Danio rerio: one gene and its partners. The protein of the gene in region 1 interacts with the protein of each later gene in a pairwise test. Links are inferred from orthologs where the notes say so. Each region holds a gene or a part of one and is shown on either strand. Other genes may lie near its edges. The genes, in order: fhl3a, slc25a46, gcm2, snrpg, pierce1, lnx1 and znf512b.

What was found.
Region 2: the proteins of fhl3a (region 1) and slc25a46 interact in binary tests that used the Homo sapiens proteins (3 or more experiments, as listed by UniProt). The two-hybrid records come from large-scale screens. The link is inferred for Danio rerio from reciprocal best matches to the Homo sapiens genes FHL3 and SLC25A46.
Region 3: the proteins of fhl3a (region 1) and gcm2 interact in binary tests that used the Homo sapiens proteins (3 or more experiments, as listed by UniProt). The link is inferred for Danio rerio from reciprocal best matches to the Homo sapiens genes FHL3 and GCM2.
Region 4: the proteins of fhl3a (region 1) and snrpg interact in binary tests that used the Homo sapiens proteins (3 or more experiments, as listed by UniProt). The two-hybrid records come from large-scale screens. The link is inferred for Danio rerio from reciprocal best matches to the Homo sapiens genes FHL3 and SNRPG.
Region 5: the proteins of fhl3a (region 1) and pierce1 interact in binary tests that used the Homo sapiens proteins (3 or more experiments, as listed by UniProt). The two-hybrid records come from large-scale screens. The link is inferred for Danio rerio from reciprocal best matches to the Homo sapiens genes FHL3 and PIERCE1.
Region 6: the proteins of fhl3a (region 1) and lnx1 interact in a two-hybrid assay, tested with the Homo sapiens proteins (2 studies listed by BioGRID and IntAct). The link is inferred for Danio rerio from reciprocal best matches to the Homo sapiens genes FHL3 and LNX1.
Region 7: the proteins of fhl3a (region 1) and znf512b interact in binary tests that used the Homo sapiens proteins (3 or more experiments, as listed by UniProt). The two-hybrid records come from large-scale screens. The link is inferred for Danio rerio from reciprocal best matches to the Homo sapiens genes FHL3 and ZNF512B.

Annotation. Positions count from the first base shown.
Region 1 is NC_133191.1:36,956,211-36,959,710, forward strand, and holds part of fhl3a (four and a half LIM domains protein 3), read left to right. Parts: coding exon 1-129; intron 130-682; coding exon 683-869; intron 870-2,822; coding exon 2,823-2,974; 3' UTR 2,975-3,500. UniProt on the Homo sapiens protein: Recruited by SOX15 to FOXK1 promoters where it acts as a transcriptional coactivator of FOXK1.
Region 2 is NC_133180.1:61,260,243-61,264,471, reverse strand, and holds the start of slc25a46 (mitochondrial outer membrane protein SLC25A46), read left to right. Parts: upstream 1-1,429; 5' UTR 1,430-1,487; coding exon 1,488-1,722; intron 1,723-4,016; coding exon 4,017-4,059; intron 4,060-4,171; coding exon 4,172-4,229. UniProt on the Homo sapiens protein: Transmembrane protein of the mitochondrial outer membrane that controls mitochondrial organization.
Region 3 is NC_133199.1:9,178,011-9,182,224, reverse strand, and holds the start of gcm2 (chorion-specific transcription factor GCMb), read left to right. Parts: upstream 1-1,414; 5' UTR 1,415-1,734; coding exon 1,735-1,830; intron 1,831-2,010; coding exon 2,011-2,263; intron 2,264-2,896; coding exon 2,897-3,009; intron 3,010-3,802; coding exon 3,803-3,928; intron 3,929-4,214. UniProt on the Homo sapiens protein: Transcription factor that binds specific sequences on gene promoters and activate their transcription. Through the regulation of gene transcription, may play a role in parathyroid gland development.
Region 4 is NC_133198.1:36,914,893-36,919,066, reverse strand, and holds the start of snrpg (small nuclear ribonucleoprotein G), read right to left. Parts: upstream 2,801-4,174; 5' UTR 2,684-2,800; coding exon 2,652-2,683; intron 2,417-2,651; coding exon 2,394-2,416; intron 1-2,393. UniProt on the Homo sapiens protein: Plays a role in pre-mRNA splicing as a core component of the spliceosomal U1, U2, U4 and U5 small nuclear ribonucleoproteins (snRNPs), the building blocks of the spliceosome.
Region 5 is NC_133183.1:13,120,194-13,124,323, reverse strand, and holds the start of pierce1 (piercer of microtubule wall 2 protein), read left to right. Parts: upstream 1-1,330; 5' UTR 1,331-1,396; coding exon 1,397-1,551; intron 1,552-3,822; coding exon 3,823-3,901; intron 3,902-3,978; coding exon 3,979-4,130. UniProt on the Homo sapiens protein: Microtubule inner protein involved in the attachment of outer dynein arms (ODAs) to dynein-decorated doublet microtubules (DMTs) in cilia axoneme, which is required for motile cilia beating.
Region 6 is NC_133195.1:25,268,640-25,272,139, reverse strand, and holds part of lnx1 (E3 ubiquitin-protein ligase LNX), read right to left. Parts: intron 1,776-3,500; coding exon 1,567-1,775; intron 1-1,566.
Region 7 is NC_133198.1:15,038,402-15,041,901, forward strand, and holds part of znf512b (zinc finger protein 512B), read left to right. Parts: intron 1-1,639; coding exon 1,640-1,987; intron 1,988-3,500. UniProt on the Homo sapiens protein: Involved in transcriptional regulation by repressing gene expression. Associates with the nucleosome remodeling and histone deacetylase (NuRD) complex, which promotes transcriptional repression by histone deacetylation and nucleosome remodeling.

The DNA of each region.
Region 1 (3,500 bases):
GGCTGTTTCATTTGCAACAGCTGTCAACAGCCAATAGGCTCCAAGTCCTTCATCCCAGATAAAGATGACCACTATTGCGTACCCTGCTATGAGAACAAGTTCGCACCACGCTGTACTCGATGTAAACAGGTCAGTGGTGAGAGAGATTTCATCAGCTTTAAAATAAGTAACCATGTGTTTCGAATCAGTTCATGCACTCATTCCTCCACAAAAAAAGTCCAAATTCTGACCTCATTTCTTCTTCCTGTTGAATATCAGACGCCGTGCTGGTCACTGATTAACTCTGCCTGTCAATTTCACATCCTGTCTTGACAGGCCACCATCTGTTTGGACTCTTGGCTCTATTGTTTTAAAAAAACAATCATTTATCTCTTGCTATTTGCATGTGAAACACAAGAGATTTTTTTTTAAATCTGGAAACAGTTAGTTTTGATTTTACCCAAAACTAATTAGAAAACGAATCTAGAATGTATGAAAAGATATTTTAAGTCTCAAGATTGTCTCAAAGTCTCAAAACTGATGTCTCAAATTCTTTGTGGCTGCTCAATAAAAGCTACATTTTTGTCTAAACGTATAAAGTACAAGTGGTAGTCCATTAAAGTGAATTTAAAGGTGTTGTTTTTTTAATGCTAATCAATTTAATGAAAGTTTAAATGTTACTTTTCCATCTTCTCCACTTCAGGCCTTGGCTAAAGGTGGTGTGACCTATAGGGATGAGCCGTGGCATAAGGAGTGCTTTGTGTGCACAAGCTGTAAAGTCCAGCTAGCTGGCCAGCACTTCACCTCTCGTGATGACAGCCCATACTGCATCAAATGCTTCGGAAATCTGTATGCTAAGAAGTGTGAAGCCTGCAATAAACCAATTACAGGTAAATGATGCAGTAGTGTCACTTTGTTTCAAAAACTGATGGTGGACTAGTGCTCCCACAACACTTGAAAAAAAAAAATACAAAAGGGGGTTTTCACATAGTTCTGGTACTGTAAGAAGCTTTTGCACAGGAGAAATGTTTTCATAATTCCTAGAAGGAACTAATTGCAGAAGTATCCCATATAGAAATCTGATATTGTATATGGAAATATTTGCAAATTAAATATATGACATACAAGTTCATTTTTGGGTTGCACATTTCACATAAAATATATGTAATATTAATAAAAATAATATAATTGGAATGTTATTATACTTTAATATTAAATGTTGAACTTAACATTCAACAGCTGTAGTTAAATAAATCAATGAAGGACACCCATGCAACAGAACTCAGATAAGCTCAGAAGAATCAAAGCTTGAAAGAATAAATTACGCGATTGTTTTCAGCAACAGGCTTCAGCCACTGTTTAAACTCATCTTTCTCCAACCAGGAGTACGCAAACTTACATTTTCCCATCTGTTTCGCTCTATGGTTGTGTGACGTGTACATGTAGAGGTTGTGTACATGTGGAGAGCGTCAAATCACCTTCTCGCGTTTGTCGCAAACTATGTGAAATCCCCCTGACGGAGAAGCTTGAACCAATTGTGTGGATCGAGCACACTGATTTTTAATATTAGGAAAAAAATAAATATATTTTTGCTTTTTTTATTGGAGTCAAACACTTTGGTCAACTTTTAAACAAAATGTAAGACCTTGTAGAAACATCATAAAGACTTTTTAATAGCTTTTAAGGGCCTTAATTTTCTCATTATTGATTTATCTAAATATACAAAAGATCTGAATTAATTAAACTGCAGCAGTTTACTGCTTTAGCTGTATTACACCCAGTTATGGCGAGTAGACAATACATCAGAGATGCACCGGCGTCATTTAAAGCAGGAGTTCCCAAACTTTTCAGCCTTCGACCCCTAAAATAACAATGCCAGTGACTCGCAACCCCCAGACTCCTTAGAGGTGGTTATAAATATATAAACGTTGTGCACACAATAGGCCTATTGACAACAAAAATAGTGCAACAGTCTAATAAACATATAGTTTTTATAGTCATTTATTAATTAGTTCAATTTAATATTAACCTTAACTAATGAGACTGGTGGACTCAGCACAAGTCTATTCTTGGTTTAATTTTGGAGACCGCCATATTTTAACATACATGTACATATTTGTCATGCCTGTTAAAACAACAACAAATCAACGGTTAAAAACGTGAATAAATAGCCATTTTTGCAATATTTTAATATTTATTTTATATGTGAAATACAGATATGAACTTGCATCTCATCTGTAATTTGCACACATTTCCATTTATCAGATATCTATATGGATACAGACTTTGTGAGTTTGCAGGAACTTTACATGGTTTTAGTTATCTAAATGCCCTTTGCTGGGGCTAAATCATTTTCCACTTCAGTAAAAGTTTCTTAAGTACAGTATACACAACAGACAACAAAAACACACCTCTGATCATGGCTGATCCTCCAACCTCCAGTTCTTGAATTTATGTTAGTGCCACACTTGAAGTTGCAGTCAGCTAGCTTACATCAATTTTAAGTTCCTAGTTAAAATGCAACCAGGAAAACAGTTACAGGAACTGGAACTAGTCACCATGGTGTCCCTCAAGAACTACATGTTCCATCTAGGGCAAATATTCCTGGTTTCTTTTGCACCCTCACTAGGAACCATGAGTTCTAAGCTGACAGACATCAACATCATTACACAGCATCAGCAGCTGGTGTATAGTGTTATCAGAGCCAATTGCATTTAGTTTGTTTCATTAATGGAGATGGAATGTTGACAAATAAGTTGTGATACAAAAATCTTTATGTCACTGTTAGTTCCTATCATGCATCTTGATTCCTGAGAACTAACCCGGTTTAAATCTCTCTTTAGGTTTTGGCGGGGGAAAGTACATCTCGTTTGAGGACCGGCAATGGCACCAGCCGTGCTTCACCTGCTCTCGATGCTCTGTCTCTCTGGTGGGAGCAGGCTTCTTCCCCGAGCAAGATGAGATCCTCTGTCGCAACTGCAACAGCACCCTATAGAATACAACCCTCATGCACATGCCTTACCTTCCTTTACACATGCACACACACACACTATTATACACTGCTGTGCCCTCACCCAAGAACTACCCATTTCAAGTAACGCCCATGCTGATACTGCTATTTAACATAACAGCAAACCAGCAATCTACCCCTCGCACAATCATCACAACCCTCAACATACACTTGCTGGTTTACAACTGGACAAACAAGACTTGATGCTTCCTATGCAACGCTGAGTTCAAATCCACCGCACAATCCAGTATCAACACTCCATTAATGTACAGGCCTCGATGCACAGATAAAAATATCTGATCTGCCTACTAGTTATCGCCTTCTTTATTTTTGCCGGCCAGTCAGAACTGTTATTAAGCTGGTAGTAGTCATTAATGGGTGGATGTAGTCTGTGTTTGCAGCCTGTAAAAGAACTCAAACAGATTCCTTCAGAAACACCCAAAGGTCAAAGGTTTGGTGTTCTGTTAAAGTGACCGAACATCCCATTTAGAATTGTTCCAAACACTCTGTG
Region 2 (4,229 bases), on another chromosome or scaffold:
TTAAATATATATATTTACGATAATCTACTGAAAGATGGTATACTTTTTGTCGCTTATTCTGAAAAACGATAGGACCTGTGAAGCACAAAGTGAGATCAACAACCTGACAAAAAGCTCTATTAATAATGTCCCCTTCAGTCCAGATCAGCCTCAATGTCACATCAGCAAATACAAAACGACAAAGCTGACCAGATATATGTTTAACGTTAAAATCGTTAACTGTGGCGCAACAAATAATAACAAATGCATGAAACGATCTGGAATAATAACAAAGCGAAGATTTACTTGGATAAAACTAAACATCGTGTAACGTAGCTTGCAAGCTATCCAGCAGATGCTACTGCAAGTAAACAACTTTTTAAGACGATACAGATATCCTTATTTACGTTTTAACGTACTAACACACGCAGGTGTGTGTTTCTACAGCATTTGAACTATCGTATATCAGCTTGTCATTATCGACATTTTATGTTTTTATATGTAAAACCATGATCCTACCGCAGGCCCCGCGGCTCCTGAGCGGATGCTGCTTCTGCTGCATCTCAAGCTCAAACTGATGTACTGATATCTTCATCAACAGAGGGCGCCCTCACCTCCATTTGCGCCTGCCCGGATGTATTAAAAACAATTAAACGCACACACACAAATATTTTGTAAAATCATAAAAGGATAATTAACTTTTATTTAAATGACGCACAAAATATGCAAGATATGTTTTCTAAAAATGAATATTTAAAAAAAATAATCGATTACACTTAAAACAATTGTGCAGAAGGCTCAAAAAAATCCACAAATGGAACCGCAGATTTATTTCTAAAAGCATAATTTAAATTACGCTCATTAAAATATATATGATATGCTCTTCCCAAAAAATTATATTTAAAGAAATAATTAATTAACCTCTAGAATTGGTAAAAAAGAGACAAGTTAGGCTAAAACTCCAAATAAAATCAACAATGCTAAAGCATCTATTTGTAAAAGCACAAACATAAAACAAGACATTTTAAAAGTTTAAACGGTATAATTATAGTACAATCAAACTATAAAATGCTATAAAATGTGTTTATATTGTATTGTTTTATTATAACATATGGATCCCAAATCTACCTCTTTTCACCTTTTTACCTTCCTTGTATTTTCCAAAGCATACTTTCTTCTTTTAATAATAAAATGAATACTTAACAATAATTAACGATTTCCCCCTCGTAACTATTGCATCTTTGCAATACTACATTACCCAAAAGGCTGCATTCAAACCGGAAGTAAACTGTCACTCGACAAAAGTCACCCGAACGAGTGTAATGTTGTTTTGCTAAAGTGCTAGCCTTGTTCATTGCGTCGGTCAATTGGCAATTATTTCTCTCATTTCCCATTTTAATTGCTATATTCTTCAATGAACTCGTCCCGCATCACATAGGCTAGAAGTCGCAGAACGTCAGACTAAAATATCTTGTCGTTTCGTTGTAGTTGCTTTGGCGATTTACAGCATGACTTCTCGTCGGCCTGACAGCTTTGAGGGTTTGGGTTACAGGGGCAGGGAGGACCCGGCATTCAGCGGGGGCTATTCGGGCAGGTCATTCAATAATTCATCCAGCTCTGACCTCCAGAACTGGGTCACCACACCTCCAGACATACCTGGAAGCAGAAACCTGCATTTTGACGATCGCACACCCCAGTTTGAGACCGCACCGGACGAGGCTCAATCAGCGGCTCCACCGTCCGGTAACATTGAGTACAGTTTATGAATTTGATGATCAGTGTGCATTCAGTGAGATGTTATTATTACAATTATCTTCTGTATATAAGACATGGCCTTAAACATGCTTATTGCGCATATGATGTGTGTGTTGTCACTGTCACTCCCCGCCCATCATTTGATCCATGAATGGATTGTGAATCTCTCCTCTAAGAGAATTGTTTGTGAGGTAAAAAGACAAAAAGAGTGTTTTAATTACCCCCTACAACAGAAATACTACATAACTAGACCTGCCACGTTATCTATTATTGTTGTACGTTATATTAAACCAAAATATATTGCAATAAACAATATTATTGTCATTTTAAGCCACTTATATAATGCCAGCATAAAAATATAATAGCATTACAATGCAAGTACGCTCTTCCGAAGAACACATCATATTTTATTCTTAAGAATATTTCATTTGATTATATATGTCATTTTTACCATTTAATAATGTGGCATTGGAATCAGAATGTTAAACGAGTATCCTAAACAAATAAATAATAATAATAAAATATAACCGAGGCTGCGATATCTGCTACAAGATATATATTTATTAGTCAGACACCCATATGAAAACATACTAAATTAATTTACAGTAAATTCTACAGTGTATACTATGGTATACTGACATCTCCAATACAGATAGAAATGTTGCTCATTCAGCTAAAATGTTAATAGAATGGATTTTCTGTACGGGCAATGTTTATTGCATCACTAAAAATGATTGCGATCAAGTCCATGTATTGTGTGATAAGTTGATAAAACGATTGTTGTGACAGGCATATGCATAACCTAATGATACTTTGTATTATTTAATCAAGATAGTTATAACTACAGTATTTCAATGAATGTTTTGTAAGGTAGCTTAATATCTCGCACAGTAATCTAAATTAAGCAGTGTACCATTGTTTTAAGCGATTCCACACTGAAGACACAGAATCATAAACAATGCATTTGCTTAGTAAAAAAGGTTGTCATTAATGTGTCACCTAGACCTATTTTACATTGATTTTAATACACAAAAAATTATTTCAAAAGAAAATTTTTAGCCAATATTATTATAACCAGGCAGAAGGATATATATATATATATATATATATATATATATATATATATATATATATATATATATATATATATATATATATATATAAATAATGTTCAGTATAGTTCCAGATTAAATGAATGAAAGTGACAAAAATTACATATAAACATGTATGTATGTATGTATGTATATACAGTGAGTGAAATAATCGATTTCTAAAGAAGCGGTTGACAAGGAATTAAACCAGATTTTGGTAAAAACCCAAACAATACAAACATGAAAAAAAAAAAAAATTAAACTAATTGGAAACTTTTTCTGTGTAATAATAATGGAAGAGCACAGGGAGAAAATACTGAATACTTTCTATACTTTTATGTACTGAAATGTATTTAATACTTTAAATAAAGGGCTTTTTTGGTCATGGCAGATGGATCTCATATAGAGAATGAAGTCACATGCATTGCAAAGATGTGATTTTTATTTTTTAATAGACTTCAAAAAAAAAAGTGTAAAAAAATCTCGATGGTTCTGTGGGTCTCCCCTATCAAATCTGATCTTTATTTCATATTTTCTTATGGGTTCAAGTGAGGTGATTGACTGGGCCATTCTAGTAGCTTGATTTTCTTTCTCTGAAACCATTTGAGTTTCCTTGGCTGTGTTGGGGATCATTGTCTTGCTGAAATGTCCACTCTGGTTTCATCTTCATCATCCTGATAATGTAGATGTTGTCTGAAGCAGCGGTTATTAATTTACAATGAGGATGGGCAGAGGGTTGCTAAAAAACTACTGAGAGATTTCAGCTGCTGTCTGGGCTTTCACTGCCTTTTTACACCTCCCTTTCTTCATGTGTTCAATACTTTTTCACTGCATCATTTCATTTTATTAGACATCATTTGTAAACTAATTAGATTTGCTTTCTTTGCATTTATGGATTTTTTTGGTTTCTATTAAAATTTCAAATCAACAGCACCTTTAGAAATATGTTTGCTGAGAAAAATGCTGAAATGTTTAATACTTATTTCTCTCACTGCATAGTAAGGCAAGGAGAGCATACTTTGGTCTCCATAGCTTTTATTAAATTGATAAAATTATTGGAATATGTTTTTCTATCAATCATTTCATCTGTTTATTTCTATGCACACACATGTTTGTTTTTAAACAAAATATGTACATAAGACATGCAGGACAGTTTTTTTCCTAAAATGACTCCTCCACTCTTTCTTTCAGAGCAACTGAATCGATTTGCTGGGTTTGGAATTGGTCTCGCAAGGTAAATAATCGCCAACGATTTTCATTCAAAGAAAAAAAATACTTGAGTATAAGATTATAACTGGCAAAATAGTGTTCCCAAATTCCTAATTATATTGTATGGCTTCAATTAGTCTCTTCACAGAAAATGTCTTGGCCCACCCCTGCATTGTGTTTCGGCGCCAATGTCAG
Region 3 (4,214 bases), on another chromosome or scaffold:
CAATGACAAAATAGAAATAAAAATCAGAAGGAACAAATCAATATTACGAAAAAAGTTACATTTAATTTAATAAGAACTTTTTAAAAATACAAAAACATGCAATCCTAAGCGTCAGGAGTTTCAAAGTGTGATCAGTTAATATTATTATATAGGCTATACATATTATTGTATGACTTATATATATATATATATATATATATATATATATATATATATATATATATATATATATATATATAATACATTTTTATTAGATATTAATAGTACAGCTATAGCTGACAAATTATCGCTGGGGAAATAAGGCATTTTGTAACATTATGCTCTATATTATTTACAAAATGCCGATATTAACTTAAGTAATAATTTCAGTCATCATTAGATTTATGCCTTGATACTTCCTTGCACTAAATCATTTTATTGAAACTAACAAAACGGCGTGTAACTGACAAAACAGTGTACAGAGACAGTTTGCATTTGGCCCAGACAAAGGAAACGGCACATTTAATTAAAGCAAACCTCGTGTATTCTTGCATAGTTCATTTTCTTACACGTCAATCGGAGATGCTGGAGTTTCTCTTGCTATCCAAGCTACGTTCAAATTTGATTATATTTTACAGTCTACTGCTAGGCCTATATTTTGAAATATTTAAAATTAAATATATGAAGGCGACTTACGGGAGTAGGCCATTCATTACCTATTTAATTTAATTGCAATGATCTTAAAATTAATTTTGCTTAACAAATAATAATATTAGTAATAATAATAATAATAATAATAGTCATATAATACTACTTCTATTAAATTAGCCCAATAATAATAATAATAATAATGATAATAATAATAATAAAAATAATAATAATTATAATAAAGATGATGATGATGATGAACATTAAGAAGAAGATTAACGCTACAAATTTCTGTTACAAGCAGGAGCAAACAGTTGCATTCATTTGAAGTTCGCCCCCGGGTGAATGTATCACCTGAAATCATTACTTGACATTTTCAATCAATGACATCAATGATCGCCAATAGATACATAGAAAAGGTGCTTGTTGATGAGCCGCGTATAGTGTTTGTTGTGTTAACGACAAGTCCGTGTTTTGTCAGCACTGCGGCTTTTCGTTTACACACAACAACTAATGACCTGCAGTAGATCACATTACCTCACTAACTGGACCAGTCCTGTTCTGTGACCATCAGCTTCGGCTCAGTCCCAGTGAAAGTGTCCTGCATAAATTTCGCTGACAACGCGTGAAATACCACACCGTCGGGTTCACCTTTAAAAGAGGCTGTCATTTTCCTTTTAAACTGTAAACGCGGAGATAAAATCTGAGACATGTAAGAAAAATCTATATAACAAAAACTACTGCTTCAGCCATCAAGTCAAAGCTTTTTGGTTTTGTTGCGAAGGGACTCGTTCGTTATTGGCGGTGAAACGCACGGATTACGTAAAGTGAAAGAAGTATTTGAGGTTGTGTGTGCGTGTGTAAGCCCAGCCTTCTTCTTTACATAGACACAGCAGTATTTACCTGAGACCATTACCTGTGTGAAGCGCACCTGTACGGACTCGCATAACGTGGATTTTACAAGAGAGAAAAAAAGACTCTGGAAGTAAAGCTCCCAAGGACGTGAGATGTACGATCCATTTAGTAAATTGATCTAGATACCGAGCTGAATTTTGCCTTGAAACTGATTTTTTAAATGGTTGTTATCATCCGGAGTTGACTCAAATCATGTCCAAATCCTCAGATCAGTTTGACAGCTCAGACTGCGTGTGTTCATTCGGGATGAAGTTGACTTGGGATATAAACGACCCCAAGCTTCCACAGGTAAATGTTTTGCTTTTATTTCATGCATTTTTAATGAATTTTATTTATTAAAATTATTTTCATATTTATTAAAATATTTAATTATTTTTCCAGAGTAAACTTTTATTCACTAAGCTAAAAAGGGAATGGTACAGTTTGATAATAGGCCTGATGTTAATATAATAATACTGTTGTTTTCAGGACACGAAGCAGTATGATGCTTTTCAGGAGTGGACAGATGGTTATGTGCGTTACATCTACAGTAGTGAAGATAAGAATGCGCAAAGACACCTGAGCGGATGGGCCATGAGAAACACGAACAACCATAACTGTCAGATCCTGAAAAAGTCTTGTCTTGGTGTGGTGGTGTGCTCACGAAACTGCTCTCTTCCAGACGGATCCAAACTTCAGCTGAGACCAGCCATCTGTGACAAAGCGCGACAGAAACAGCAGAGTATGTTCAGAATTTCCCCGCCACCAAATACGCATTACCAAATGAGTTAATCGCGTTAGGAAGTCTGATAGGAAAGGACATATATATAGCTATTAAAACACTTAGTTGGAAAAAAAAAAGCCTCATGTGTGTGTGTGTTTTTTTCTTGAAGGCTTTAGCAATTTTGAGTTTCTGTTTAACACAACAGTAATTCAGATCACTGTCACTTCAAATCACTTCGCGTTTTGTGCATTTTTTTTTTTACTGAGGAAAAGCTAGGCACAAATAGTTTAGTTTAAAATTATCAGCCGTACCACAGAAATTCATAAATGGTTGTAATATGTTAACTCTTTTTGGAAACAGACTTTTACGCAGAAATGTCAGTTAAGAGAACTTAGAAATTTACCACGAGAGTATTTAATATACTCTAGCCAAATTACATACCCACATTAGGTCACCAAATGTTCATTCTTTGAATTTGATCCGCTCATTCATGACTCAGCCGAGGAACACTTATGACTTGTTAATCATTTTGATGGACATGACATTTTCCGCAAAACAGCAATTTTACATATGTATGTATGCATGCATGATAAAAAGCTTAACTGAAATGTAATGTAGCTTAACTTAATACTGTATGTCTTGTCTTTGCAGAAAAGCTTTGTCCGAACTGTAACTCAGCTCTTGAATTGATTCCGTGCCGAGGTCACAGTGGTTATCCTGTTACGAACTTTTGGAGAGTAGATGGGAAGGCTATATTTTTCCAGGTGAGGCTGGCTTCGAAGACATTTGTTGTTGTTATTATTATTATTATTATTATTATTATTATTATTATTATTATCATCAACATCATCCTCATCATCATATTAATTTGGTTTATTTTCTTAAAAATAATAGAATATTTATTACGATTAGAAATGCAGGAGAGCTGGAGGAGATAATTTGGAAAAGTTTTAATTTTTTTAAGCCATTTTAGGTCAGCATTATTAGCCATATTAAGCAATATTTTTTCAATTGTTTATCGAAAAGCGATCCAGTTTCGCATTTGAATTGCACTTTAAGGTGAATAAAAGTATCCTAAATAAATATCAAGCAAAATATCATGTACTGTCATCATGGCAAAGATTAAAAAAAATCAGCTATTAGAATTTACTTATTAAAATTATTATGTTTAGAAATGTGTTACAAAATCTTTTTGTTATAAGTTGGGGAAAACATAATGGGGTAATAATTCAGAAGAGCTAATAATTTTGACCAACTGTATGTGTGTTTGTGTTTACTGAGAGAGAGAGAAAGAGAGAGGGAGAGAGAGAGAGAGAGAGAGAGAGAGAGAGAGAGAGAGAGAGAGAGAGAGAGAGAGAGAGAGAAAACTTAACTTAAAGTTAAGTTCTGGTAAATTAAAACCTGTTAAATTTATCCTAAATTGCACAGAATTATATCCCCATACAACAAGAATATGTTTTAGATTTACAAAGAGTTAAATATTTAAATAGTTATGAAGTATGAATATCATGCCATTGATAGATGTTCAATTCCCTATATGCTGGATGTCTGTTTTAGGCTAAAGGAGTACATGACCATCCCAGACCAGAGAGCAAGTCTGAAACAGAGGCAAGAAGGAGTGCGGTAAAAAGAAGGATGTCTTCACCACCCTTTTCGCAGAAGAGAAGACTGGTGGAGCCAGAGGTAAAACTGTGGCTATATTCTGTAGTACTTAAAGTTAATTGTAAATACACAAAGTATATGCTAATATAATAGGTATAGATCAGCACATAATAATGAAAATAACAATAGTCAGTAATAATAATGATTATTATATTTTTATTATAATTTGTTACAACTATAATTCCTGTATTTCCAATGCATTATTGTTAGTTAAGACATTAAAACAACTTCATAGTTCCATACTAAGCAAACTTATATATCATGTATTTTAGTGTAACTGTAATTTGTACAAAAAATAAAACAGTGT
Region 4 (4,174 bases), on another chromosome or scaffold:
GAATTCGGCAGATGCAATGCTGTTGTAATGTTGTTTGTGAATGTTATGTCGATGCTCCAGATTAAAGAAAAGAAACGAATTATCACCCTGGTAACCAGCGTTTATTTACGATGCCCACGTTGGAGAGAATGGTCTGTAAACAGCCAGAAATAAGGGTTACAATAACATGCCCGCTCACTTTTGCCAAGGCACTTACAAAAATACATTTCTTCTGATGCCATCTATCTAAAATGAACATTTACAAGCACAAAGACGTGGAATCGATCTATTGTAAAAGGTACTTTGTAAATAAGCATTTGCTATCAGTTCAGAGTCCCTTCTTCCGCTACGATCAGTGGTGAATTAGTCTTGTCTGGTTCTGTTCATTGTTGATTGGGTGAGAGCAGCTCAAGCTTACTGGCTGTGGAAATCAGCGGGCGTGGCTCATTATACTTCAGGAAAGCGCCGTTTATAACGCGCGTTTCAGTGGGGTTAAAACGGCGTTTTAAACGGCGTTTTGTGGCAAGCGGATCGCGTCATAAACCGCGCTTTTCACTAACACTAAAACGGCGTTAAAAACGGCGTTTTTTACAGGTTTACGCGCGTTATTTGCGGCGTTTGCAATCAGAACGGCGTTTTTAGCGGCGTTTGAAATGGTATTAGCGCCGTTTAATGCGGCGTTTTAATTGTAAACGCGATTGATTAATAGTGTTTTTATGAGCTCTTGGGCTTGCCATAAGATGATGATGTGCGCGCGCGGGACTTGTTTTCTCGCGCTGGATCAGTTGAGCGCGCGCGTGAAGATCCCCTGTGCGCTTGCAGCTGTAGTTTTCTCGCGTGTCTGTAATCTGCTCACGGTTCACTTCTCCTCGCGCGCAAACATCACCGCTGCGCTCGATTTATATTGGCATTGATTTGCCGACATAAGACGAGTCGGACATGATATTTAAGATCCCACATGAAATTTAAGACCTCCTTATGGAAAATTACAGAATTCAAGACATTTTCAGACCTTAAAAATCGAAAATTTTATTTAAGACATTTTAAGACTTTTTAAGGACCCGCGGGGACCCTGTAAAATACATCATTGAACGTTTTTATTGAAATAATATTAATATATATTAGAGCTGCACAATATATCACTTCTTGAGCAATGATATTGAAATGTGTGCATCTGCATTAGTTACATCGCAAGATAGGCGATAGTTAGGATTATAGATGACCACCAGAAACCACTAGTCAAAACACACAAGATTTGTGGAGACACTGCAGAATTTAAGCACAATAGAGTGAAAGTTTATCATCACTTTAAGGCATGTGGCTGAGCATTTGAAGAGAGTTTAAAACATTAGTAGTGCATGAAAATGTTTAATAAAGATTAATTTTATTAAAATTTGTGTATGGTGAAGACTACACAGTGCTATTTTACATTTGATTATTCGATTTCAGTACCTGAATCAGGGTTTCTGCAGGTTATACAGTTAAATTTAATTGTTTATAAAACCTTTATTAATTACATTTTAGACCCATAAAGTGCTAAAAGCTAAGGAATTTTTCAAATAGCCCTGATGGAAAAGATTTTTATTTGCCCTATCAAAAACATTATTATATTTTAATACATTTAATAATACAATAATAATAAAAAAATATATATATTTCCGATTTTATTTCTTAGCAAAATATTGTGTAAAAACAAGCAAGCTCTAATTGTATCTATACACTTTTTTCCTCAACATAAACTTTCTTTAAAATAAAAAAAAGAACAAATATTTTAAAACTTTTAAAAACTACAATAAACTAAATCTATGCACAACAATCTCTCCTGTTCAGTGTCCTCAGTAGTAAATACATGGAGAACTTTTAAACACATGTTATTGTATGGAAAATAATTAAACCATTATGGTAAATAGATTAAAAATTACCTTTTTAAATAAAAAGTTTAAGGTTTTGTTGAGAGGATTGTTGGTGATTGTATGGGTGTTAATGGCCAGACTGGGTAGCAACACATGACTTTAAAAAAAAAAAAAAAGAATCAAGACCTACACAATACAATATTTCAGTCAAATTAATACTTTTTAATGGCCAAATTTTGGATTTTGACATTTAAGACACTGTGGAAACCCAACTGAGTACTGTTAGACTCTCAAGAAACCCATTAAGGACGGTTTATTTCACTTTAATAATTACGTTACCCAATTGTGTGTGTGACTAGTTTGTATAAGAAACTACATTAAAATGTATATTTAAATTTCACTCCCCTACAAAACCACTTTTCAAATATTTAATTACTTAATTACAAAAAAGAAAATATCGCAATGTATAGTTTTTTCAATATCGTGCAGCCCTAATATTGAGCTATAATTCATATTTTAACTGGAAAGAGAAACATCTAACGTTATTAAAAGATTACTCACGTGAAAGCTTCTTGTCCATAAACCTAAGAGGGGAAAAGGCACTTTCTTAATTCACAATAGATACACCACCAAACTGAAAGCTAACTCATATAAAATATATCAAAATGGATTAGCAATATAAGTTATGCTTGATGTGAAAATAAAGTAATTTAGCCGTTAAACTGAACACACACCGGCTAACGTTAATAAGTTGCCCATGTTAAATACTTCTTAATATCAAATTTCTAAAAAACTCAAGAAAATACTTGAAATACTTACTTTTTCAGCTCGGGTGGATGTGCTTTGCTCATGTTTATTTAGTGAGATATGCTAGTTTTGTCAAACAAATACGTTTGAATCACGTTTCAAGCGTTGTTCGGAGAATGAGTGAAATGCAGGAAGTGACGTTTTGGGTCGCGGGATTTTTCCCTTGTACTAGCACCATTGAGTAATATTGCCCTCTACTCCGGCGGATGATGAACTACAACAACAACAACATATCGACAAGGTCGCTGGTTCGAGTCTCGGACTCTCGGCTGGGTCAGTTGACATTTCTCTGAGGAATTTGCAAGTTCTCCCCGTGTTCGAGTGGGTGTCCTCCGGTTTCCCTCACAGTCCGAAGACATGTGCTATAGGTGAACTGAATAAACTAAATTGTCTATAGTGTATGAGTGTTTCCCAGTACTGGGTTGCAGCTGGAAGGGCATCTGCTGTGTAAAGCATATGTTGTATAAGTTGGTGGTTCATTCTGCTGTGGCGACCCCTGATGAATAAAGGGACTAAGCCAAAAAGAAAATGAATGAATATTATACAGGCCCATAGCCAGCCTGGTAAAAGGGGTGGTTCTTTTTTCTAAGTAAGTTTACCTTTTTGCAGGTATTTGCCTCATTTTCTATTTAATTATTAGATATACTGCATTTTAGTGATATTTTAAGCACTATCTTTAGCTGAATTAACCTGTCGAATAGTCATCATAACCACAATTTTGATGAATCAAAATATTTCCTAAAATTTTGGAATAAAGAAAAATAAATAAATACATATTTTTAAAAAACAAATGTTACAGCCAATATTAATTAAAAAAAAGGAATCTATTAATGTTTAAATTAAAAACTGTAGCCTATTATAGCGACATTTATTGGGCAAACAACAACTTGGCCAGCTCATTCAACTGTCCTCAGTTAGAATTTGCCCATTTGAATACATATTATTATTAATAATCAAAGGTTCAAAACTGATAAGCTGAAGTCACACCGCAGCAACAGCCAACAGAGGATTACAATTGGTTTTAAGACCCTTTTTGCTTAGTTATTTTTACAATTTATGAAGCATAGCAATTATAATGAGACAAACAAGCTCATATATGGAACAAATGTTGGACCTTTGTTAGTGAGGGGTAGGTCTTTCGAACCCCTCAAAGCCTATTGAGGTAAAGTTAATTTTTATATTCGCACATTCACACTTTCTCCTTAATAATATAATTTCAGAGAAGTATTCACTGCAAATTCTAAATAGTGAAATCATATTAGCAGCCATCAACCATCAAAGTGCAACATTGTTGACAGTCAATTTAATATTGGTAATGTTGCTTTAAAGTCATATTTACATCTGATTTCAGTCCGAAAATTCAAAGTACCACGGTAAACAATATATGGAGCTGTCACTGAACGAATGTGCGAACTTTACCTTAATCCAACCCAACCCCCCGGCTTAGGGCCTGTTATAAATCCAAAACTTACAAGAATATTTTAACCAATTTATTCAAAAATAATTTCAACGTACATAGTAACATGAGGTAAATT
Region 5 (4,130 bases), on another chromosome or scaffold:
TATGTTAGATTTAGGTTGTGATGTCAGGTGACCAAAATTCAATGTCTAGTCTGCATCTAACGACAATGTTACTTTGATGACCATAACGATGTCAAATGACATTGATATTCTGTAGATGTTAGGTTATGTTGGAAAGTGACCAAAATCCAACGTCAAGCCAACATCTTAAACCAACGTCATATTGCCGTCAGATACTGACATCATACTGACGGCATAGTGGTAATGTTCACACAACGTCAAGCTGTAACTTTATTAGACGTTGATATGGACGTTGGACATTGATATCAACCCGAACTTCATTTCCAAACAAAACGCAACGACCCCCATAGTTAGTATACAACGTCAATTTGATGTCATGTTGACATCTTCTACCTGCTGAGTGTTTAAGGCCATTTCGGTCATCATATAGTAAACAATCGTCATCTTGTCATCAGTGACATACAAAAAAACTGTATCTGGGTTAATGCGTGTAAAGATTTTGGATCTTGTTGGACACTTTTAATGCTTCCAAACTGTTTGCTGCAATTATAAGGTGCCCATGTCTTGAGTAAGTTCATTATGATGTGATTTACCTTCTATTTGCGATTTGATTGGACAGGAATCACATGACTGATTTTTCTAATCGACAAAAAAAAATACAAAATAAAAATAAATAAAGTTGTGCCTGCAGGTTGAAGGAAATTAATGGAGATAAAGTATAGATACAGCACTAAAAATTTACTCAAAGGAAAGTAAACGTACATATTTTTAAACCTATGTAGTAAATACGATTCCTGAGAAAAACGACTCAATTACAGTCATTTGAGTTTTTGTAATTAGTTATTTTGCACCCCTGGTCATTAGAAATGTGAAATTTACTTATATAGCTTTAAGTAATTTTCTCTTTGGTTTTATGATTTATAGTTGTCTTTTGAGTAAAACATCATTTTGTTTTACTCTGCAAACTACTGATAACATCTCCTACAAATTTAATATAAAAACATCAATGTTAGAGCTTTTTTCTGCATAAAATAAAAAGGTGGCATGTTCTTGGTTATTTATATAAGGATTAAGACAAATACTAATGTTTTAACTACACAAGAGTTAGGAATATTTACTAATTATAATTACCACGAAATGTTATCGTCAATCACAACAAATAACAACATCTAAACGATTCTCATTGTAATGTTACTTTATTTGAATAATTGACATATCTAATAATACCACAGTAAATCCAAATATCTCTTACTTTTTTCTCCATAGAGTGTATTTATTTCTTTTTTAAAGCTAAATTTTTAATTATTACTTATGAGAAATTTTTTGAGAAAAGACAACACTTAACTTACCAGGGTCACATTACGTCACCTGGTTACAGTGTTTATAGCAACCACACGGATAATGCCTCAACACAAACATGAGCACAAACGAAATAAAGAACGATTATTCAGCGAAAGAAGAGACCGCAGGGCCTGGAGATTCTAATACATCTGAAATAAAGACAAGCGATGTGTACAAAGTTGACAAAAACTTACCGTCTCGCTTTAATAACCCGGATTGTTTCAGATACAGGTAAGAAGAGCCAGCCTTGATGTGTCCAAAGTGCGGAAGTTGAAGTCAATATACTTGACGTTTTTAGCACTTTAGTTGAATATTCTTCAAGAGTGAACTTTTAACACCTGCTTGCTTGGATGTTTTTAAATAGTTTATTAGTTGTTTGAGGCGTTAACGCAGTAATTAGCCATAGTTTGTTAAACAGGTTGCATCGCTTCCGGTTCAGGTCCTTTATGTGTGTATCTCGATTAAAGCGATAAATAGTTTTACTTATTTCTTCTCAGTTGCATTATGGAATAAAATTAAATAAGAACGGACAATAATACAACAAGCTATAAATAACAGGGATCCTTGAAAATTTTGAATTTCTTAGGATGTTTATTTTCCAAGTAACTTAAGAGTTTCAGTAAATATATATATATATATATATATATATATATATATATATATATATATATATATATATATATATATATATATATTTAGTCTATAAACAGGGTTCATACAAATTTTTACCACTAAAATTCTATAACTTTTCCACGATTTTTCCAAGACTTTCAGGTAAATTTTCATCACCTAATGTTTCATGCAATGTCTACATACATACAGTATGCGTAGTAAAAGAAAAACAATGCACGCAACAATCTATTCAGTTTGAATATATATTTATATCTATGTAAAATTTATTTAGAATATGCTTACACGCACTAATAATGTGAGAGTATGTGATTGGCCAAGGACAGAAAAGTAAAGACAATTAACCCAAAATAAATATCAATTTTCCAAAACTTTTCCAGGCCTGGAAAATGTCATGTCAAAGTTCCATGACTTTTCCAAGTTTTCCATGACCGTATAACCCTGTATTAATGTCTGATAACACATTTTTTGACGAAATTACACTTCAGACATGTATTCATTTGTTGTGGTTGAAAATCAGGATTATTCCATTAAATGTAGTTTTCTTCTGAAGGTATAATATTGTTTTTTATATAACACTTTACAAAATGATTCAATTAGTTCATGTTAATCATATTTACTTACATGAATTAAAAATGACCAATATAACAGTATTTGTTCACTTCTGTTGGCAAAAGAAAAAGTTGTTAATTAGTTCTTTACACAACTCTAGAGTTTAATAATGCATTAGTAAATTCTAAACTATGATTAATAAAAGCTGTACAAGACAAGTACACTACTTGACGAAAGTCTTGTCGCCTATCCAAGTTTTAGGAACAACAAATAATAACTTGACTTCTAGTTGATCATTTGGTATCAGAAGTGGCTTATATGAAACGCAAAATAAATAAATGATCGTGATTTTTAATTATTTAATTAGGACAGTAAGAATTGACTTTGCTTAGACAAAATTCTTGTCACTTAACAAAAATAATGTAGAGTACAGAATATAAAGTCATGGAAAAATAATTAAAATTGTGTATGACTCTCATGAGCTTGGAGGACTGCATCCATACATCTCTGCGAAGACTCAGGTAACTTATTGATAAAGTCATCTGGAATGGCAAAAACAGCGTTCTTGCAGGACTCCCAGAGTTCATCAAGATTCTTTGGATTTACCTTCAATGCCTCCTCCATCTTACCCCAGACATGCTCAGTAACGTTCATGTCTGGTGACTGGGCTGGCCAATCATGGAGCACCTTGACCTTCTTTGCTTTCAGGAACTTTGATATGGAGGCTGAAGTATGAGAAGGAGTATTTGCTCTCTCCTGTGGTTTGTATGGTTATGGTCAGGACAAATATCTTGATGCCTCAGGCTGTTGATGTTGCCTTGCACTCTGCAGATCTCTTGCATACCATGCAGGTTCTAATAGGTCTTCTGCAGCATTTGTGATGATTGGGATGCAGTTCAACAGATGATTCATCAGAAAAATCTACCTTCTGTCACTTTTCCAAATGAATATCTACTGTAGAAGTCAAGTTATTATTTGTTGCTCTTTCAACTGGGATCGACAAGTTTTTTTTTAGGTAATTTATTGTTCATTCTTAGTTCATGTTAAATGTAAAGTGTTGCCATATCAAGTTATTTAAACATAGAATATAATTGTTATTTTGACCAATTGTCAGTTTATACTCTAAATGAGTTTGAATTAAAGAACAACTCAGACTCATCGCTAAATGAGTTTGAAATCAAAACAAGCATTTTACTGAACTATAAATTGTAAACTTAACTATGAATTGTAAATCCAGAGAAACTGAGAATTTCTAAATGCTCTTCATTACTATAAAATACAATATATGTGTATTCTAATGATCTTCATTGTATATTTCAGTCACAAAACAACCAATCCACTGTACCGAACAACAAACCAAGCATATGGAAGCAAAAAACCAACAGTTCACGAAATGCCTGTGAGTAAGCGGCACACAATATAAATGAATAGGATAATACACACAAGAGTACTTACAAATCTGCTTCATTTTTCCAGACATCCTTTAACGGAAGTCGACACAGGTTTTCGGAGCATCTACTAAAAAGTGGCATGTACAGAGACAACGGCTTCAACACCATGCTGGACAAGAGTCGACTCTCCAGACCCAACGAAACGTCTGTGTTTTATGATAGAATCAATTTCCATTC
Region 6 (3,500 bases), on another chromosome or scaffold:
CATAACCAATTCCAAAAGCCTGAGTTTCATGTAGTACTGTCAAACAATTATTTAGGATTAATCACAATTAGGCTTTGGATGATAACCGTTTTCAAGGTATATCGTGGTTTGGAAAAGTCAAGGTTTTAAAACCGCCAACGTCTTCTGCCATATCATTCCTATGGTATTTGTAAGATGATTTTTTTATTTTTTTTATTATAATTTTCTGTTTGTTTTTAGGGCAATAGTATCTCCAGCAGAAAAGATATAAAAAATTAATCAATGGTAAATAAATCTGTTATTTTTTTTAAACTAATGAAGACAGAATCAGTCAATGATTCATTTGAATTACTTAGGCTGACATGTTTACTGCTCCAAAATATTTTAAGTGTTTCTCAAAAGAAAATATATTGTGTTCAAAGGGGTAAAAGTTTTAGTTTTTTACCCAGACATTTAAAAAGAACATAATTTAGAGCACAATACCTTGGAAGCATTTTTTATATAAGGTTATCATACCTTCAGAATCTTATATCAGCCAATGCCTAATCACAATTAAAATTGAAGGTTGCATTTACCTGATATAAGTGTTTGTAGTTTGTATAAGCTTTATGTAAGATAGGATGTACATCTAGCTGGTTGTTAGCATACATATTTTAATTTTAAGTATGATTAATTGCATAAATTAGCACACTATTGAAAGGCCACATTTTAAATGTTAATTTTATTTAGTGTTATTTTTATTCATTCATTCATTAACATGCATGGGATTAATAGCAAGAAACACACTACTGAAAGATCAAATTTTAAATGTTAATTTTATTTAGCGTTATTTTTATTCATCCGTTCATTAGCATAGACTAGAACATCTAGACATAAAATTCTGTCCATGTCCACATCTCCATCTAAACAGCTAACACACCAATTACTGCATATTTTTAAAACCAGTAATCCAGTACTCTTATATGCAACAATAGAATGTTTACTTTATAAATACACATTATTTTATTTATAGTGTCCTTACAGTACATTTTACATATGCCATTATATCTAGATCTACGTTGTTTTATTGTTTTTAAAATATATTTTAAATTCTTATTTTTATTAATCTAACTTATTCCAATGCACTCACTCATTTTCCTTCATCTTAGTGTCTGATTTATTAGGGACTACCACAGTGGAATGAACCGCCAGTTGACTTATTCAAATGTTTTTCTAGTGTTCTTGTGTTATATATCTATGTATACAAAGTTCCTGGAACCCACAATGAATTCCTTGCATGTTTGTACAGACTTGGAATATAAAGCTGGTTCTAATGTTGATTCTGGGAATGCTGCATATCTGCTTTTTTTAGGCTTATGGGACATTAACATAATCACAGCTTAAATGTAAATATAAGAGCATCTCTGCTTATTTTATATAACATGATCAAATTAAAAATGAAAGCAAAAGGCATTAAAATGTCTACATGCAGAATCCTAACACGTTGCTCCTCTGAACAACAGATGGTGACAACATGTGCTATCAAAACCGGGGTGATTTGCTCCTACTGTACATTGACGTAATCTCAGCTCTAGCACACATACGCACCTTAAGAATCATATCTCCAGGTAGTAGTCTTCCATCCCGAGCGATGACCCCCTCGCGGTAGATGTCTTGTATGAGGATGCGTACTAGAGGGGTCTCATTGCCACCAACAATACTGATTGCCAGTGGTTCACAAGGATCTGCCCTGGTGATCTTAATACTGGTGACCTCACCATCAGGGATTAGATGATGCAGCTGAGGTAATGCGAATACTGAAACAGAGAGAGAGAGAGAGAGTTTGTGTAATCAGTGAACTGAACTCCCACATGATCATCACTTTCAGTGCTACACAAACAGGGCATCTGTCCAGAGTAAAGCCAGGCCAAGCATGACTGCAGGACTTAAAAAAGCATTACAGTGGTCTGTTGGTGGATGCAAGGCTGGCAGAGACTTTATATGAATGCATTAAGATAAATCTTACAATTAAAGGGGTGAGTTTTAAGTAAAATTAAACTTTTTTCCACAGACAAATGTGCATACTGTAGCGCTGATCAAAAATCTGGAGCTAATATGTTATTTTTTATAATAGTAATTCGTTGTTTTATTTAAAAGTAGTTGTTGTGTTGATTAAAACTGACAGGGAAAAATGTATGTCTAATAATAACAAATGTAATTTATTCAACTTTTCATTTGTCAAACCATTTTCTTTTTTCAAGGAACTACACAATTGTTAAGAGTGCCTGTTAAGAGGATTTTTGTAATGATGCTGACTATTTGAAAATAAGAAATAAACCAGCAATTAATTTGATTTAAGCATATTTTTCCAATATTGAAACTCGCAATTTTAAATTGCAATAATATTTCATAAAAACTTATTTCACCAGTTGGATAATTTTTACTGACCAGCTTTGGCGGTATAACAATTACCAGCAATCTAGGGACTGCAAATCGCTCGAGAACTACAAGCACCATATTAATGAACTACACAGCAAATTCATCAGAGTTAAATTCTCGGTGTTGAAGCATTTCAGAGTAAAGTGTTGACGTTAAAGAGTTAAATTTTGATAAATGAATATAATAAGAGTTAAAATTGATTTTATTCAGTGCGAAATCAAAGAGTTATCTTTTCAATACTTGGTGGTGTTATTTCCAACATCCGGGAATTCATGCAGCCCCAGTCACTGAAGAATTTTCCAGACGCCATTTTCCATCTGAGGTTTAGAACAGCAACTGGTGAGTCAAACTACCTAAATGTTGGTATTTTACTGACTTTCTTTAAGGAAATACAGTTGTAAACATATTGTTAAGTTAATAATTTTAGAATGGAGTGACAATTTTAAACTTCTGCGGTTCATTCATGGTCGTTTGTGTATAGCTTAACTGCATTACTATTCACTTCTTTTCAAGAATGTTTTTTATATATGCTCACGCATACATAGTGCATAAAAACATCAAATGTACATGTTAAACACATTTATGTCACGCTTAATGCTATTTTGTGCGTTGTTACCCATCTGTAAAATAAAATCGACACTTCTCCTTTAATTCAAAGCAAACTAGCGAGGGAATCCCCGGAGCAGCCTAGCCTACTCTGCCTGGATGCTAACGGCAACACAGGACGGTTTCCATGAGCTCTGGAGTTTCTAAAACATATCTGGTGAGTAAATGAACATGCTTACTTGTAAAAGGCTTCCTGACTGAAACATATGATTGTTTGTTATTCGTGTACGTTAATTTGGTTATTTTAAACACCGCAGCCCTTTTAAACTGGTTCATTCGTGGCTGTCCAAATAACGTTAGTCCATAGACTCGTGTGATAACGTAACAGTTACGCTTGAATTATATTAAGTGTTGACTTCCATTAAAGTCGGAATGTTAACATTAATGTCTTTAAATGACCGCGTTTGCACTTTATCAGACATTTGACGTTACAGAAGTCTCCCGGAAGTTGCGGGACTAACGTTAACGTTATCCCGCAAATGCACAGAGACTCCCAG
Region 7 (3,500 bases), on another chromosome or scaffold:
CTTACAAGCCTAGAACACCATCCCAATTGTGGAGTATGGGGGTGGCAGCATGTTGTGGGGCTGTTTTGTTGCAGGAGGGACTGGTCCACTTTACAGCATAGATGGCATCATGAAGAAAGAACATTATGTAGAAATACTGGAGCAACATCGCAAGACATCAGCCAGGAAATTAAAACTTGGCCTCAAATGGGTCTTCCAAACAGGCCATGACCCTAAGCATACTACCAAATTAGTTTAAATTTACTTTAAGGACAACAGAGTGAAAGTTTTGGAGTGGCCATCACAAAGCCCTTATCTCAATCCTATAGAAAATGTGTGGGCAGAGTTGAAAAAGCTTGCGCGAGCAAGCTTACAAACCTGACTCCGTTACACCAATTCTGTCAGGAGGAATGGGCCAAAATTCCTTCAAACTATTGTGAGAAGCTTTTGTAAGGATATCCAAAACCTTTGACTAAAGTTATACAGTTTAAAGCAAGGCAAAAAAAATTATGTAAACTTTTGATTGTCTAGAACAGGGGTCACCAATCTCGGTCCTGGAGGGCCGGTGTCCCTGCAGGGTTTAGCTACAACTTGCCTCAACACACCCACCTGGATGTTTCAAGTATTCCTAGTAAGACCTTAATTGGCTTGTTCAGGTGTGTTTGATTAGGGTTGGAGCTAAAATCTGCTGGACACCAGCCCTCCAGGAACAAGTTTGGTGACCACTGGTCCAGAACTTAATAAAAAATTATTAAAAACAAAATTCTCTCATTATTCTGGCATTTAGCAAATGTAAATGATTTAGGTAATCCTAACGGACCTAAAATAGTAAACGTTTAGTATGATTTACCATCAGACATTTAAAAAAATGGTTATGTTCCTTTTTTAGAGTGTAATTAAACTTCTGGTTTCAATTCTATTTGGTTAGATTTAAGTTGTGACTTCAGGTGACCAAAATGTAATGTCTAGCCAGTGTCTAAGGACAATGTTATTTTGATGTCCAATATCGACATCAAATTATGTTGGTATTTGGTTGATTTTAGGTTGTATTGGAGAGTGACCAAAATCCAATGTTGAGCCAACAACTTAAACCATCATCATATGATGCCTCAGATGTCAAAATATGACATTTATTTGTCAGGCATGGCAACCAAAATCCAACGTCTGATAGACATCATATTGGTATCGTTCACTCTACATCAAGCTGTAAAATCATTAGACATTGATAATTGGTTGATTTTAGGTTGGACATTAGAAATTAAAGTTGGCCTGACGTTGGACTCTGACTCTATCAATCTGACGTCCTGTGTCTGCTGGCATAGTATTGGTTTTTACAGAAGTCAGTGGTTTTATGTTACTACTTTTGTGTCACCAGAAGAAACTCATAAAGGTTTAGAAACACTTGATGGTGAAATAATGACAGATTGATTTTTTAGGGTGATCACTTTACTATCACTTTGTTACTTTTACTTTTTTTTATTACTAAAACTCACTGTCTACAAACCATTTTCAAGTTTAAAACATGATAGGAATGTAATACAGATCTGCAAAACACAGTATATTGTAAAATAGCATAAAACAATATAAAATAATAGACATATAATGATGATATCTGAATGGATTTCAAATGCCTCTGAATGCTCTGACTTCTCATTTTTAGCAGGAGGACAATAAAGATGAGGAGGATGTGCTGGAGGAAGAGGATGATGATGATGAGGAGGAGGAGGATGAAGAGGAACAGGAGGAGGAAGAGCCTGTGCTGAAGAAGAGCATAGAGCAGGAAAGGCAGAGCGAAGGTGAGCAGGTGGAGAAGATGCAGGAGAGGAAGGAAGAGAAAGGGGAAGTGGAGGACCTGCTGGATTTGGAGAGGACGCCGAGTGGCCGGGTGAGACGGCGCTCTGCTCAGGTGGCTGTATTTCACCTGCAGGAGATTGCAGAGGATGAGCTGGCCAAAGACTGGGGCACCAAACGAAGAATCAAAGATGACCTTGTTCCTGATATTAAAAGGGTAAAGTGATGTTGGACCTACTAACTTTAAAATTTCAATTTCTAATTACTTTCAAGATTTAAGTAAACTTTAGTTTACTATTGGAGATGTCAATAATTTGACAGCAAATGTTGTTTTTAGAATATTTATGCCTAACAAGAATTTACTAAAAACAGAACTTTTTTTCTTTGGGCTTTTGAAATGTTCCTTGTACAGATGACAGTATTCTCCTGGTGACAATATTCAAATATTCTTTATTCAGACAGATCACACAGAAAAATAAAGGTTTTTGTATACATACTTAAAAACATTATCTTCCTGTGAAAAACATTTAGCAATCAGATCTTGTGTTAGCATAGTCAAAATAAACCTTTTATTAAGCCAGTGGGTGGTGTCAAGTGTCATTGTAAATCCTTTACATGATATTTTTCTAATCTTGACAGAATTCATGTTGGAAAAGTCTTTTAGTATTTTGACAGACAATGTTATGACAGTTTGAGTCACTATGTTAAAGGTGCTGTAAGTTTTTGACTCTTCTAAAGCATGAAAATATCATATATTATATGCAGGTATTTCAGAAATATGCTAAGTGATAATTCTCGTTTATCTGAAAAACAATGCTAAAGTCAAAGATATTCTACTTTTAAAATGTGCATTACGAATTGAACAGCACTCAAAGTATTCATCTGTGACCAAAATGTGACCTCTGGTGAAGAGTAGCAGATTGAGACGCAGATTCAGAGTTCCACATGAGGTGTTTCATAATTAGCAAATAAGATAAATATTATGAAAGTAAACATTAGGTGAGCGGGTTACATTGTAACCCTGTCCTAACAACAGGCTAAGTGACGAGATACACTATAAGCAATTTGGTTGTTTGCACCAGACGAAACATGACAAAAATATAAATACAGCCATTCAGACTTACTGCACCCCAACGAAATGGTAAGGTTTATTATCATATTAATACATATTAAACCTTTACATATACATATTAAACTTTTTAAGATTATTAAATGTACATGCTGAGTCACAGATACATGTTGGCTTGCACTGAGTCACGGTTCTAGGGCTCTATTTTACTGTCTAAGCGCAAAGTCCAAAGTGCAGGGCACAAAAGCATTAAGGGCTTGTCAGAATCCTCTTTTGCTATTTTAAGGATGGAAAAATTCACTCTGCGCCACAGCGCATGGTCTAACAGGGTTGTGCTTATTATCTTAATGAGTTATGGGTGTGTTTTGAGAATAAACCAATTAGAGTCTGATCTCCCATTCCCTTTAAAAGTCAGTTGTGTCTTGCCATGGCGCATATGCTATTTACATGGCTGAGTGTGTAAATGGAAAAACTAAACACTTCACTAGCCAGAAAACAGTTAAACAGAGCATCTGCAGTGAGAGAATGAGCCTCATCATTCTTTACTTTCACCCTCTTTTGTGGATAAGGAAACGTGTTGTACACACAGACATCCATTAGCCTACATAATTAATTTTGTTGTTAAGCGCAAGGATTCATTTCAAAACAAGATTTCGGGAGG